2 linked regions of the Oryzias latipes genome follow. The protein of the gene in region 1 purifies or fractionates together with the protein of each later gene. This does not show direct contact. Links are inferred from orthologs where the notes say so. Each region holds a gene or a part of one and is shown on either strand. Other genes may lie near its edges.

What was found.
Region 2: the proteins of tp53rk (region 1) and nup43 purify together in Homo sapiens (affinity purification with mass spectrometry; 3 studies listed by BioGRID and IntAct, counting the BioPlex papers as one, with this or other methods). This does not show direct contact. The link is inferred for Oryzias latipes from reciprocal best matches to the Homo sapiens genes TP53RK and NUP43.

What each region holds. Positions count from the first base shown.
Region 1 is NC_019879.2:916,522-923,962, reverse strand, and holds tp53rk (TP53-regulating kinase), read right to left. Parts: upstream 4,863-7,441; 5' UTR 4,791-4,862; coding exon 4,586-4,790; intron 2,363-4,585; coding exon 1,875-2,362; 3' UTR 1,812-1,874; downstream 1-1,811. Other genes in the region: high affinity cGMP-specific 3',5'-cyclic phosphodiesterase 9A, read right to left, coding at 85-172.
Region 2 is NC_019882.2:17,708,957-17,716,224, forward strand, and holds nup43 (nucleoporin Nup43), read left to right. Parts: upstream 1-2,514; 5' UTR 2,515-2,632; coding exon 2,633-2,752; intron 2,753-2,933; coding exon 2,934-3,056; intron 3,057-3,972; coding exon 3,973-4,050; intron 4,051-4,133; coding exon 4,134-4,296; intron 4,297-4,366; coding exon 4,367-4,502; intron 4,503-4,597; coding exon 4,598-4,749; intron 4,750-4,827; coding exon 4,828-4,944; intron 4,945-6,148; coding exon 6,149-6,378; 3' UTR 6,379-6,507; downstream 6,508-7,268. Other genes in the region: pcmt1 (protein-L-isoaspartate(D-aspartate) O-methyltransferase), read right to left, coding at 2,116-2,293. UniProt on the Homo sapiens protein: Component of the Nup107-160 subcomplex of the nuclear pore complex (NPC). The Nup107-160 subcomplex is required for the assembly of a functional NPC.

The sequences.
Region 1 (7,441 bases):
CAGGCCTTTAATAACAAACTTCATTCAAAAGGAATTTCTCAAATGAAAATAAAATGGATAGACGGTTGAACGAGAAGCTCTGACCTTTGACATCCTGATCTGGACAGTCGACAGGGAACTCCGCCTGCTCTGGCGTCCCGTTCACTGTGAAGTAAATGACTTTTGTTTCCATGGCGTGAATCGGCTCTGGTGTGGCGCCGTCCTCTGCTGATCGAGGTCTGACGTCCGTCTGTCCCCTCTCATTATTCCTCTGCTGAACACCCCCCCCCCCCCCTTGTGTGCCCCTCCCTCAAGTTGTTTTGTTCATAAGACAATGTGCATAAATACATAGAAATGTGGGTTTTCATCTGTACAACCAATCCGTTATGTTGATTTCTTTTAAATCATTTTTAAATGTGTTGACATTGTCCTGCAACATTAAACTTGTTGGTTTACAGAACAGATATTTTAGTATTTGCCGTCTTATTGAACCCAATGTCATTTTATATTATGGAAACCTGCTTATATACGAGCTGGTCACTGCCAACGCTGGGAATGTGTTGCCCGGTATCTGGGTGGTTTTCCTGCTTTGAGGGTTGCATTACGGCTGCCACCCTGTGTGTGTGTCTTTGGGGGGGGGGGCTGCTGTGGTCTTTTAAGCCTTTCTGCTACTGGGCTGGAATCCACCAGTTTCTCTGCATCTCCCCTGAGACTTAACTACATGCTGGCATGCACATGCATAAAAACATTCATATAAAAACATGACAGATGTGGAATATTTCTTTGCATTCGCCCCCGTTCTCTTCCATTTATTTCCTCCCAGCTTCCCCATCAGTAAACTCCAGCGATGATAATAAATCAGTTTATCTCCTCTATAGGGTCAAATCTGGATTGAAGGGAATAAACTAATCAGATGGTTAAAAATAAAAATGTAAAGTCTGAATTGTACAACGGAATTGAAACTAAACTGAGGAATCAAAGCAAAATAGGAAAAAAACAAAGAAAACCAAAAGCTGAAAATACAAACAGCAGCTGTTAAAAATGGTAAATGGTACTATGGTGTGTACTATGGTGTGTACTTGTACAGTGTTTTCTATTCAATTCAATTTAATTTCTATAGCCAAATATTTACAACAGGCGTCTCAATGGGCTCCAGATCCGAAATTGTGGAATAAACATGAATCCTAAAGAACATAAAGTCACAGAATTCAATAGGTAATGGAGAAACTTAACAGTCTAAACTACAGTAGTGCTGTTCAAATGAACAAACTGTTTTTATTCAATTGAAGCTGATCCTGATTTGACCGCATGCAGAGCAGTAGACTAGAGATTCTCTCCGCTGCCGTTTCCTTTTCTTAGGCGCACCACCATGGAAGGTCGGTGCAGCCGCCTCTTCTACTCTGCGCTTTCAAAAACTCCATTTGCTTTTTAATCGCTGTCAATTTCTGCATTAAGGACTTGAAAAAGATTAACTGGTAAACAAAAGGTCCTTCATTGGAAACAAGTCTACAATATTAATAAGAAAAAGTTGGTGCTTCACTGAGCGGAAATGTTTACTTAGAAAAAATGTATAAAGTTTTGTGATCAGTAAAGAGCCGCATCAGAATCTCTTCTTAGGTACGAATTCAAATGTTCTTTGATAGCAGCAGTAACTTTTCCTGCTTTTTGTCTTTTCTTCTCTTTTTTTTTCCAGAAAGGCTGGACGCACCAAGGATTTTATATTTTTTGGTGCACCACTGAAAAATCTAGCGGCGCGTGAGATCAAAACAGACGCAGTCTAGAGCGCCGCCATACTAGTAACTCTGATCAACAGAAATCTTTCCAGACAAAGCTTCAGAGTCTCATTTCTTTATTAACCACGACAGCCATAAGTCCCATGAAGCTCCAGTCAACATTCATCCCACCATGGACCTCTTCCTGCCTCGGAGCCGAACCTCTTCCAGCTTTTTGATGACTGCCGATGACTTTTTGGAGGAAGCCGAGTAGCTGCCGAGCAGCTGCTGGAAGAGCGGCTCCGTGTTGGGATGGGTGCTGAGGAACGCCTTCTCCAGAACATAAAGGTCCACCCCTTTATCTTCAGCTAGAGCCGAAATGTAGCTCAGGCCAAAGTCGATGAGGACCAACTCAAGCTCCGAGCTGTCGGCGCTGCGTCGCAGCAGCATGTTGGAGGTGGTCAGGTCTCCGTGGATCACGTCTTCGTCGTGCATTTTGGCTAAGATCCGCCCCGTGAGCTCAGCCAGCCGCTGCAGCTCTTGGTCCGACCGCGAGGACGACCGCCGGGCGGATGCGATGAAGTCCCGCACAGTCTGAGAGTCAACTATTTCCTCCAGGAAAATACAGCTGCAACTGTAATCCACAAAGTAGACGACGGGGGTGGAGATGCCTGTGGAGGAGAAACAAGTCTTTGACCGGACGCTGCAAAAGGTCAGAGGCCAAGTAAATATCACAGTTTGCCTTGATCCTGTCTGTAAATGATAGGATAGAGACGACTTGAGTTGGTTATGGAAGGATTAATGGAAGATGAAGTGTGCTTTATCAGAAATGAATGCACTTCATGGAAGCAACCGTCCGGTTGCTTCCATGAAGTGCATTCATTTCTGATAAAGCACACTTCCAAGGTCATCAACCCGCTTATACTATGGTCACCTGCAAAAGAAATAAATGTTCAACCAGTTTTTAGTCCTTTACTCTTGTTATTTTTTCAGTTTGGATCACTTTTTAAACAATAAAGCATCAGTTCAGAGGGAAAGCTCTCCTCTTGCCGCTCGTCTTTGTCCAGACGATGAAGATTACGTTTGTTTTAAAGAAGCCAGCGGAGTGATACAGAACATTTCAGCTGGAACTACTTTTTTAGATTCTCACTTTTTAGTCCACACCCAGCAGGCGATCAGAATGGAGTGTTCACCCGGACCGTGGTTTAATCCTAAATAAATGAGAACATTTAAATGCAAAATGTTCCTCTTTTAATCAAATGTATTTCTTAGAACTTGGATAAAACGGATCCTCTGCTCTTCACACTGAGGGAAGAAAAAAACCCGTCTTCTGTTCGCAATTCTTTGTTCTCACCGTCTGAACAAAAATGCCCCCCCTCCCCACCCCATACTTAAAACACCCCTAGTGCCCAGTGAAAATGAATTATGCGCATCGTAAAAAATACAACATCAACAAAACGTTGAAATAAGAAGATGTAGATTTTGAACGGCATCTTTTATCCTGTTTTTAGGCTGTTTTTGTTCTGATTTCATGTAAAAATGAATCAACTAGAGACAGAATCGGGGGGGGGGGGGGGGGGGGGGGCATTTTCTGTCCATCTGCTCCCCTTCAGTGAATCTGTCCTCGTTTTCTCAGCAGCTCTGAATCTTTGGTCCAGACTACAGGAGACGGACTGAAACCTCTCGTCTCATGGCGGCGTTTTTCAGCAGGAAAACACAAACGTCTCTTTTTTTTTTTTTTTTTTTTTTGCCTTAATGCTGCACATACTGGTAAAACCAAAAAAGGAAGAGAGGAAAGGAAGAGCAAAAAAAGAAACACCAACTCCAGTCGAGACAATCATTATTTTCGCTGCTTTTCATGACAGATTTTGACCCTTTTGGCTTGCCATAAAGGTGCAGGCTGTTGGAGCGCAGCCTGGCTGCTAGAAACGATAAATCCTGAGTGTATCAGGAGGACAGGAGTGCTGCGTATCCTTACAAAGACTTCATGAGACATTTAGGACACGCGCATCAAACAATCGCACGTTTCATTCTCCTGACGTCCTTGAAGTGGCCGAACGAGCCTCAGTGGAAGTGAACGCCACACCTGCGCTCACCTGTGGACCCAGACAACCAGAGAGCCACGGCCTGTGAAGTGACTTAGGCTAAAGTGACCAGCGTAGTGTCTCCGGCAGTCAGAGCTAATATAATAATAAAAACATTGTTTGTGTCTCTCCATTAAGTTTAGGAATAAGAAAAAAATCAACAGGAAATAAGTAACGTCAACTGCCGTCTAGCGTGAGAAAAAGGTGTGGCGTGAGAGTTGGCAGCCACAAAATAACCTGGGAAACTAGAGATATTTTTAGTAAATTAACTGAGACATCCAATCTGAATTACCTGAATAAGTTGCACACAGGTCGTCACACGGTTGCATTTTAAGATGTGTGACTGTAGTTTACGAATGTTCTGACATGGAATTCTTGGGTTTATAATTTTTTCTTGTTAACAAAAAACAATTTGTTCATTCTGCAGTTAAAAAATGACAACATTTCCAACTCTGCTTTGTGTTTTTCTACCGCTCAGGTGTCCTGTGCAGTTGTGTAGTAAAATAAAGTAAAAACTTTGTTGCTTTTGCTAAACCAAACTGTGTTAAAGGTGAATTATTCCAGGAAATTGTAAAGTTCTACAAATTGTTAAAGCGGTCCAGGACCACAAAGGGTTAATGCTGACCCGGATTGAGCAGACAGAACCTTTCGCCTCGTGCGTGGACAAACCCCGCGAGGCCTCGTGGAGCTTTTCGTGGTGAACTAGAGAGCAGGACGTCCTGGACGGTCCTAGGCTGCAGTGGCCTCCGCCTGGGGGAAGCAGAGGCGTCTGAAGCCGGGGATCGGCACCGCGGCGGCGGCGGGACTCACCTGCTCTCCGGCAGCGGGCGATGCTGCGGACCTCCTGCATGGTTCTGCGGTGCGTCAGTTTTTCATCCAGCTCTGGGTGTCGGTAGCGTTTCGGAAACCGTTGTTTGATCACGGCGGGTTTTCCCAGGAACTCGGCCCGGTAGACGCGGCCCTCCGCGCCCTGCTTCAGCATCTCTGCGCCCCGCAGCAGCTGGAGGGTCGCCATGTTGGCGGCGGCTTCTTCTTCTTCTTCTGGCGTTTTACTGGCGGTTTGAGGTTTGCCGCCACCTACTGGACTGGAATGTTCCTGGAATGTTCTAAATTATCTTTTTATATTAGCATTGCCTGTCTAAAAAAAAACACATCTACGTTCTTTTCCACAGATTCATCATGTCGTTTTTTTAGATTTTGTCATATTTCTCTGTAACTAGAAGGAGCTGCATCTCCAGAAGAAAATATGGGTTGATGCTGTATCGCTGAATGAAAAGGAAGCGTAAAGGGGAATCATTGGAAAATAAATAAATGAATTAAAAAAAGATCAAAGTTAACCATAAATAAAGTTAAAACAGCACAATAACAAAAAACATATTTTTGTGATAAATGCCAGAGCCGGGTATCGAACCAGTGAGCTTCTGCACCAAGGATCCCTCATGTTTTTCAACGGAGGCCAAAATCCTGGAATATCTGGAAAAGTTCAAGGATTTGAAAGTCCAAAAGTTGTAGCTGGAAAGAGCTGAATATTTGAATAGTTGAATGGTTAAAATAGATGAAAAATTGTAGGAGTTAAGCGGAAAAAATGGCCAAAGATACTAGAATAAAGAAAGAGAAACAGGAAAACAATGATTGAAGGTTTTATAGCATTCAACCCAATAGTGGAATTACGGTCAGAACATATCACCATGCACGACAACTACAATGATCTGGGGCCTCATTCATAAACGTTGCGTACGCACAAAAGAAGGCGTACGCCACTCTCTACGCAATAGTTGAGATTTATAAAAAGCAAACTTGAGGGGAAAATGTGCGGTCCTTCACGCTCTGACCCAGGCGTACGCACAAAAACGGGTGAAATGAGAAACGGTGACGCCGTCGGCAGATGGAACAAACACGTGAAAGTGAAAATGACAATACTGCCTCTCATAAATAACATGAAGACTTCACAAAGCAAGTCTGACAATTAACAGCTACACCAACATCCGTTTGATCGATCAGCAGTGAAACAAACAAAAAAGATCAAACGAAAATTACAACAGAAATTCAAATGAACACTTATTTGCAGAAAGAAAAGTGAAATATGTTCTGCAATATTGGCATGTTGTGCAATTCATCCTCATAAATAATATAGTTAACAGAACGAAATAATGTACAAAACTGATATTCTCGTCAATGTGTCCGTCTGGCGGAGCAGATATAGGTGCGGGCGTTCGGACGGACGGACAGACGCACTAATTGTCCACTGGGGAAAGTTGTTTTCATATTAAAACATTTCTCCATAAGCTACAGAATTATGGTATTCATGCATATGCCTTTAGTTTGTTTTATTTTTGATAAACAATGTATGGCGTATGTCTCAACCATTCAGAAAGCAACAAGAAATTACATTTGCGCTGATCAATTTCCCATTTCCACGTCGATTATTCCCGACATCTGTAGCTTTTCAGATGTAATTAAATGGAGGGAAATAAAATGCCCCATCACAATGCGTAATGACGCACAATGGCTGATCTTGCGCTCATAGAAGATGTGGCAAATGGAAGAATTCGGAGTGAACGTATCTTTAGACAGCAAGAAGACTTGCTGGCAAACGAGGACGAGTGGCTTATGAGCCGGTTCCGACTTCCTCTGCGGGCTTTTGGGGGGGTGTCACCCGGTGCATCTGGCGCGTCGGCGTCCCCCTGCGCCTCAGTCACCACTCCACTAAAGGATTCCCCAATTCTTGCCGCTTGTCTCTCATCAAGAGGGTTCAGCTCCGGTGTCCCCCCCCCGTGGCAGACACACTCTGGCGATGCAGCGCCAGAGGTTTTTTTGCCTCGACTTTGATGTCCGACCATTTCTTTTTTATTTCGGCCACGGTCCGAGGTTGTGAGGCTGCAGCATTTACAGCGTCTGCCACCGTTTGCCACTCACGTGCCTTTTTGGCATTAGTAATGCCCACACTGTGCCCTCCAAACAACACTTTTCTCCTCTTTTCCACCTCGCCAACGATAACTTCTACTTCACATTGAGTGAAGTTACGTTGTTTTGATTTTCTCTCTGTGTTTGCCATGGTTTCCCAATCAATGAATATTCATTTGTGGGCGTTTCACGGACTATTTATGGGCAACTATGGGCGTGTCATGAAGCCGCAAAAGCTGCGCTGCATTTAGAATCGGTTGTGATTTATTAAGGGAAAGATGCGTAGGATGTGCGTGTGCACGGTTTTATAAATCCGAATATTTCTGTGCGTACGCACGTCCTATGTTTCATCCGTACGCCACTTCTGACGCAAATCCTACGCAAAGTTTTATAAATGAGGCCCCAGGTGTTTCAACACTGCTGTCTGCATTTCACACACATCATCAGGACTCTTTGTGATAAAACTTTATTTGGCTTCTGTGTGTAAGAAGAACGATAGAGGTCTCATAAACTCAGTTTGCCGTTCATCAAACTCATATATTTATAAATATTTGACAAAAAAAATCTACATACACTTAATACAAAAAGAAAACAAATAGTCAAGGGGTGAGCCCATCTTTAAACACGGATGGATAACTGGACAGGATGAAGTGCAGCAAGACTTTGAGAAAAAAAAACGGATGCTCACAATAATTATAAATCTGTGCTTTAAATACATTGAACAAAAAAAACTGTTGAAAAGAAAAAGCATGGTCATTGAGC
Region 2 (7,268 bases), on another chromosome or scaffold:
GACAAACATGGAGTGGTTGGTATCCAAATAAACCTTATTCCTTATGCTACCTACACACCAGGCATGTGATGTGACCTGAAGAACGCGCTAAACGGGCCTTCTTGAACGCCCTATTGCCACATGTGTTCACACTGGACTGTCGCTACCCGATATTAGTGCATGTACTCACAGCTGAAAGAGGCTTGGTGTGAAATGTTAACACAGGGCACAGTAAGAAAGCGGCATAGCAAAAACAATATTGGCTTTGCAGACCATGGACTGCAGCGGGACAGAATTATGGACATAAAATTTAGATGTTGTAATGTTAACACTCAAAAGAACAGTCACACTTATCTAAACAGGTTGCATTTACACTGTAGTTTGTGGATTAAAGGGCCTATTTCATGCTTTTCCAATACTTTCACAATGAACTATATCCATGTATATGATAATATATTACCTTTGGCACACTAAAGAATGATCTTTTTATGAAATACGAGTTATTTTCACACTTCATTTTCCAACCCGGAAATAAGACGACTTGGTCTCTGAGGCTCCGCCTTTCTCTCTGTGTGGGTGTCGCCCATTGCATGACCTCAACATAGAGCCGGCCTTGGCAGCGTGTCTGAGTCTCCCAGGAAAACAAACAACATCCAAACCTTTACAGGGATGGATGTGCATACTGTGCAGAGTAAAGGAACGTGTTTTGACCAATCACCACTGGCACCACGCAGAAAGTGTGTGTGTGTATTCCTGAATAAACACACAAACACAAACACAAACACACACACACACACACACACACACCCCCCCACACACACACACACAGAGTATTCCTCTGAAAACCTAAGACGTTTTTAGAGGAATACTCAGAAATGTAAGAACAGATCAAAATACTGCTTTGAGGTTGTTTACAGTGAAGAATGAACATTATAATACACTTAAAAGCTAAAAAAAAGTTGATTTTTCATGACCCTTTAAGGAAGATACATGAGCTCGATTTCTTATGTTTGGAATACAATCAAAAGCTTTATTGTCACCAAGCAGAAAAAATGAACAATGAAGACTTAAATATTAAGAATGCACATGTAAAATATTAGCAAAATAAGATGATAAAACTCTTGAGCATTATTATATACAGTCCACATGATCACTTTTTTAACTGTACCTATTTGCATAAAGCCAATATAACCACAAAAGGTCCTTAACAAAAGCCTGCAGGGTTGAAAGGTTCAGCCAGAGGTGGCAGACTGATCAGCATGCCTTCTGCATGTGGTCTGCTTCAATCCAAATGAAGTGTGCTAGTCGGAAGCAAACATGTCTGGACTGAGATAAGCAGATATAGAGACTGATGCCCTCCTAAACACGCAGCTATGGGCAAAAAAGCGAGCAATGATACCCCTGACAGCACAGAGAGTATAAATAGAGCTGGCAAATACTTGACAGTGAATGTTGACGCACACTCAAGTCTGCAAATATCGTATTAAATTCACATATTAGCATTAAATAAGTTGATGTACTGGCTTAAAGGCTTATTATGAACAAAAAGGCTAAGTGTCAAAATGACATTACCATTTATTCCGAGTTGGACTTGGCACTAAGTCGCTCTTTCGATGTTGCTAGCTGCTATCGTGACACAGCAAATGTGAATTTCTGTCTCGTGCAACAGAAGGGTGGTTTCCAGAGTCGAGCTTTACGGTTTAAACTGTTCTCGTCAGTGAAATGACAGCGCAGTGGCCAGTGCAGACAGACATCAATGGATGTGGGCAGGGCACACAGCTAGCGCCGCTGCTAACGCTAGCTACATGCTCCTACATGACGCACATACATAGCTAGCTGGCCGGGCTAACATCACAATACACCCTAAATATTTAATGCAAATATTATGTAATTTGGGTGTTTAGTGCTTTTATTTTGATCTAAAATGACAGAAGCGCGCGCGTGTCCCACGGCGTAACGTGGTTTGGCAAAAAAAAAAAAAGGGGGTGGAGAAACTAGGGGCAACAGTGGTTAACAGTTTAAGCAACCAGCTAGCTACCGCACCTGCGCTAACAAGCACGCGCCCGAAAACAGTTTTCCAGCGTCGCGCGGGTGAATTGCTTGCCGATGCCACCTTAAAAACGCTACAAGACTCACTGCGAAGGTTGGTGACAAGTTCTGCGTGACTGGCTCCTCCAGATTTCCAGGCCATTATTAAGCAGACTTTGCGGAGTAAGTAGACAGCAGCTGTCAGTGCCGCGCCTGCGCCAACAGTTTTCCCGATGAAGCTCGCAACCTCGAGCGGAGACGGCGGAGCGGATACGTCACCAGACATCCAAATGATTTTATTACCGGGCCGCCTTTCACATACACTCCCTTTTAACAAAACACGTACAGTTTAATAAAATACAAACCCAATTAGATACGTACTGAGCCCAGTGTCAGTTTAAAGAGGGAATTCCTCTGTCTCTGCTTTATTGGAATTGTTGGGTAATAAAGAAGTCGGCCGCTAGGGGGAAACAGATTATCTATTAATTTAAAGAAGAATAGCACACTGTGATCTGGTCTTCTCGGGCCACCGTAGTTACGTATGAAGCAGCAGGCGCGTAGTTTCTCGTGTAGTCCGTAAACTGAAAACAACACTTCAAATTTTAACAAAAAGGCTTCAATTTCCATGGAGAGCATAAATGCCAAATATGTGTCTCAGAAAATCAGTAAGACGAGATGGTGTCCGGTTTCCTATTCTTCACTGCAACAACCAGAAGTCTTTGCTACGGGCTCGTGGGACAACGAGGTTAGCTAGTAGTACTACTACTAGCGCAAAACCACACAAATTATTAAGATCGCTTGCTAATTAACTCAATTTTTTTTATTAATTTAAATTATTTAAATACACTTTAAAAAATTGTTTTGATTCATTTGTCGTCGTGATTTAAATGTTCACTGAGTTTAATGTGAAACCCGTTGATTTATAGGACAACAAGGTGTCTATCTGGTCCATTGGAAATCACAACAATTCTGGATTAGAAGACGGATTTGAAGGAGACCCACAAATTTTATGTGAGCACAAACATGGCGGAGATGTTCTGGACCTGCAAGTAAGAAACCCAAAAGCTTCTAATGACGGAATCATCGGTGTTGATGTTTGATCTGTGGAGCCATTTCTTTATTTAGGCCTATAAACAAACTAAATGAAAAATAGAAATGAGCACAAAACCAAAACGAAATTTTAAATGTTCCCTTTTCTGTCATTAAAATTATTCAGCATGTCAAATAAGTGTCAGCAGTTATAAAGTCATAAAGATCCTTCAGAAGCTCACACCCAAATGTTTGATCAATTTGTGTAACTATTTGATTACATTTTTGTTCAATTCTTCTGGATTTTCCCACTTTATTATGTTGGATGGTTCACTCAGATATGTGTGTTTTTAACATGTTTTTGTAGCATTTTTCTCATCATGGAGGACAAAAGGATTTAAGCTTAGCACTGCATTTACGAGGACTTTTTTATTTAAATTGTAATGGATAAGGACCCGGTTTGCGATGCAGCAACTGCCATTGGCGGGCCAAAGTCTCCCTGTTCCGCACGCAGACAAATAGATCCACATCCGTCTTTGTTTTCCTTTGTCTGAGCTGGAATCTAAATCTAAACTGTACGGCAGGTTGTTTTTTTTTCTTGTGCTACGCTAATGTTAGATTGGGGTTGTGAGCGGCTGTTAGGTAGCAGGAAAGCGTGTAAACAAAGGAATGCTGGGAAATCATGGTAGGGTCACTTTCACGCTAACAGTCCCATCCACAACCCAGAAACAAATTTCTAATGAGCTTCTGTTGCTCTGCAGAAATTATGTCTTAAGGAACAACACAGGGTTTTTGATTTTTGCTAAAAACTGCATAATCATAATAAAAAAAACACTGGGAATGTTTTTACAATAGGTTTTAATTTTAAATGATTTTAAATGTGTACATTGTTTGGATAAAGTAATTTTTCTTGTTTTTCTTTGTTTCATGTTTTAGTTCTTGGACCAGGAACGGATGGTCTCAGCGTCATCAACGGGAGCAGTCACTATTTTCCGCTATCATCCAAACACTCATGTACGTTGTTTCTTTTCGGTTTTCTTGAGGAGAAAACAAAATGTCATGTTTAAAAACGGGTTTCCTTTTTGTTTCCTGAACAGACCATTTCAGTTCTGCAGCACTGGGCGAGGGCGCATAGCTACCCTTGTGACAACGCGCCCTGCACCGCCTTGGTCTGCAGCAGCCCGGAGATTGTCACTGTCGGGGAGGACGGCAGGATCGTGGTCTTCAGAGCCGACCAGGAAGGAGCGGTCCGGGTCATCGGTGAGATGAGGACTCGGATGTTACCGCCTCATCAGGAGTCGAGTCTAAAACTGTCCGTTGTGTTTGTTAGAGAATGCAGACAGCAGCACAATTCACGCGGTGACTTACCTGAAGACCACGGAGGTTTTGACGGTGAACTCCATTGGCCAGCTGAAGCTGTGGGACCTCAGGCAGCAAAGCAGCTCCCCATCGCAGATTCTGTCCCTGTAAGAGCTCTGAAATTTGATGTATTTATTATTTTTTTATGTATCTTTATCCTTTCAGAAACACACCTTTACTTGTTTGTCTTTTTTTCCACCAGGTCAGGAGACAGAGCTCCTCTGCACTGCGTTGACAGACATCCCAACCAGCAGCACATCGTAGCCACCGGGGGCCAGGACGGCATGCTCTGTGTGTGGGACGTGAGACAGGGGGGCACGCCCATCTCACTCATGGAGGCACACTCGGCTGAAAGTCAGATCCTTTCTTTATTTCACTTTAAACATATCTCTGGTTCTGTTTCACTAACTTTCCTTTGGATTTCCTCGTCAGTGTGGGAGGTTCGCTTCCACCCCACAAACCCGGATCACCTGTTCACGTGTTCGGAGGACGGCTCGCTGCTGCACTGGGAAACTGCCTCGCATTCCGAGATGCCCTCATTCTTACAAGGCAAGTCGTCATCAGTGAAGAGGCACTCCGATGAAAATTTTGTTTTTTGGTGTTTCCAACATGTTCTTTTCTTTTTTCTGATGATGGAGGCAGTTTGAAAAAAAAAACCCAGCTCGCTGCTCAGAGTTCTTAGCAGCATAATCATAATAAAAAGACCACAGGGAAGGCTTTTACAATGGATCCAAAGATGATTGGAATTGGAACTTTAAAAAGAGAAAGCCATGGATCAGATTTGAAGCTTTTATCTTTATGCATTCTTCTTTCTTTATGTCACTTAAAACACACAGGGTCAAATCAGGATCATCTCAAATTGACTGGAAAACCAGATTTTAAAATTGAAACTCTGAAATACAGCTGTCACTGTTTCGCAAAGGTGGTTTGGCAGAGTTTTAAACCAGATACCCTTCCTGTACTTATTCAGGCTAGTGTTATATGGGGGCGGGGCTTTGAGCCCATTGGTTACCATGACATGATTGATGTTGTGTGATAGAGGTCATGACAATGTCATTTCCACTTCAAAGGAGGGATGACTCGAGGTTACATTGTGTACTTTTGAATGTAATTTTTTTCTGGAAATGTTTTTCATTCACTTTAAGCTTGAACATATAGACTCTTCAGTCTGACTCCTTTTTTTTTTTTTTAATGCGTCCTCTCCATTCATTTCTGTGCAGAGCTCCGAATATTTTGACAACAATTTCTGATTTCGCTCCCTGGTGTCTTTGACTTTCCAAGTAGAGATTTAGCTAATTTTTATTTCCTCCTTCCTCCTCAGCGTTGTAGCTCTCTGAGAATTATTTAGACATTTCTCTCTCTGGTTGTTGACTCTGAGGACACAGTCATGACTTTGCACATTCCTCTGCTTTGTGTTCATCAAACATCCCTTCACTTCAAACTAAAACGATCTTGTTGACAGCTCAGAAGTTCTCTAAAGTCTAATTACAGCTTATCAGTCCTGATTTGTACAACAGAGATTTGTGTGTTTTGGCTAAAAACAAAGTCAGTCTTTTGAAAGGGTTAATATGAGACAAGATTTGTTATGAAATTTTAAAGAAGTTTAGAGTTTAAAGCCAATGACGCTGAAACAAATACAGGGACAATAATCTCAATCCTAGAGTGTAAACTCTGCATTTTTGATAGAATTTGGGGTAATTCTGAGAATATTTGCAGTTGGGGGTGAACGTTGGATTGTTTGAACTGTTGACAGGTGGCAGGAACAGCAGCGTGATCTCCCACGGCGCGCTGACCCCCGCTGGCGGGAACCGCCCCCTCAGCAGCGCCTGGCTCTGCGGAGATTCTGGCAAAGGCTGCCTGGAGACGACGCACATGCTGCCCAGCCAGACCATGTCCGTCAACAGCCTGGACATCATCGGACAGTGTCTCGTCTGCGGCACCGACGGAGAGGCCATTTTTGTCAACAGACATGTCCCAGTTTAAAAAATAAGTGTCTTTTGTGAGGAAAGAGATGTTACTGTCCTCATGTTGTGTTCTGACTGTGTTTTGTACAGATTTGATTTAAAAGGTTATTAAATTACAAATAAACGCTCAAATAAGTCTAAAAAGTTGTTTTATTGTCAGTCTTGTTTTTTTATTTTCCAATATTTACGATTATTTGATAGATTTGTATTTACACTGTGTAAAAAAAAAAAAAAAACAAACAAGTCAGCTGCTAAGAACACAGGGAAAAATGGTCTTGATTTCAAATTAAATGTGTTAAACATCTTAAAGTAATACTTCCTCACAGAAATTCTATTTTTTTTTTTTACTTGACTGTTGTTTAATCATCTTTTGAGGACTAATACTCACAGATGAAGACAAACATATGAAATTATACTGCCTACCTTAAGGAAAATTCATAGTATTATGAAGCACTAGTCATTTTAAACAATTTGAAACGATTTTTTTTAAAGATCTTTTTCTTGTAATCGTTTTATTTCTGGTTTGCTTTTTATAAATTTTTAAGCAATGGGTTGTTTTTGATCTCATTCCCTGTTTGTTTCTTGACCCTTGATAGTTTTATTTTGAAAGCGGCGGCCACCGGAAGTGCAGCGCTGCACTCTGACGGCAGCGTTTACTTGTCATTCAGACATCCCGGGAATCCAACGCGACAAGGAACCAGTCACCGCGGCTCAGACATTTATCCATTTAACCTGCGTCCAGCGGAATTAACCCAAAAACACATCGAGCCGTTCAAACAGGGAGACAAGCGGCCGCTTCACGCGCTGGTAGGTTCCGGTTCTCTCTGCTGGTCTCTGAGCAGCCGCTAACCCTCAGCTGCTGTTGAATTTTAGCAAACACAGCAGGCCGTAAAGAAATGTTTGTCTTTG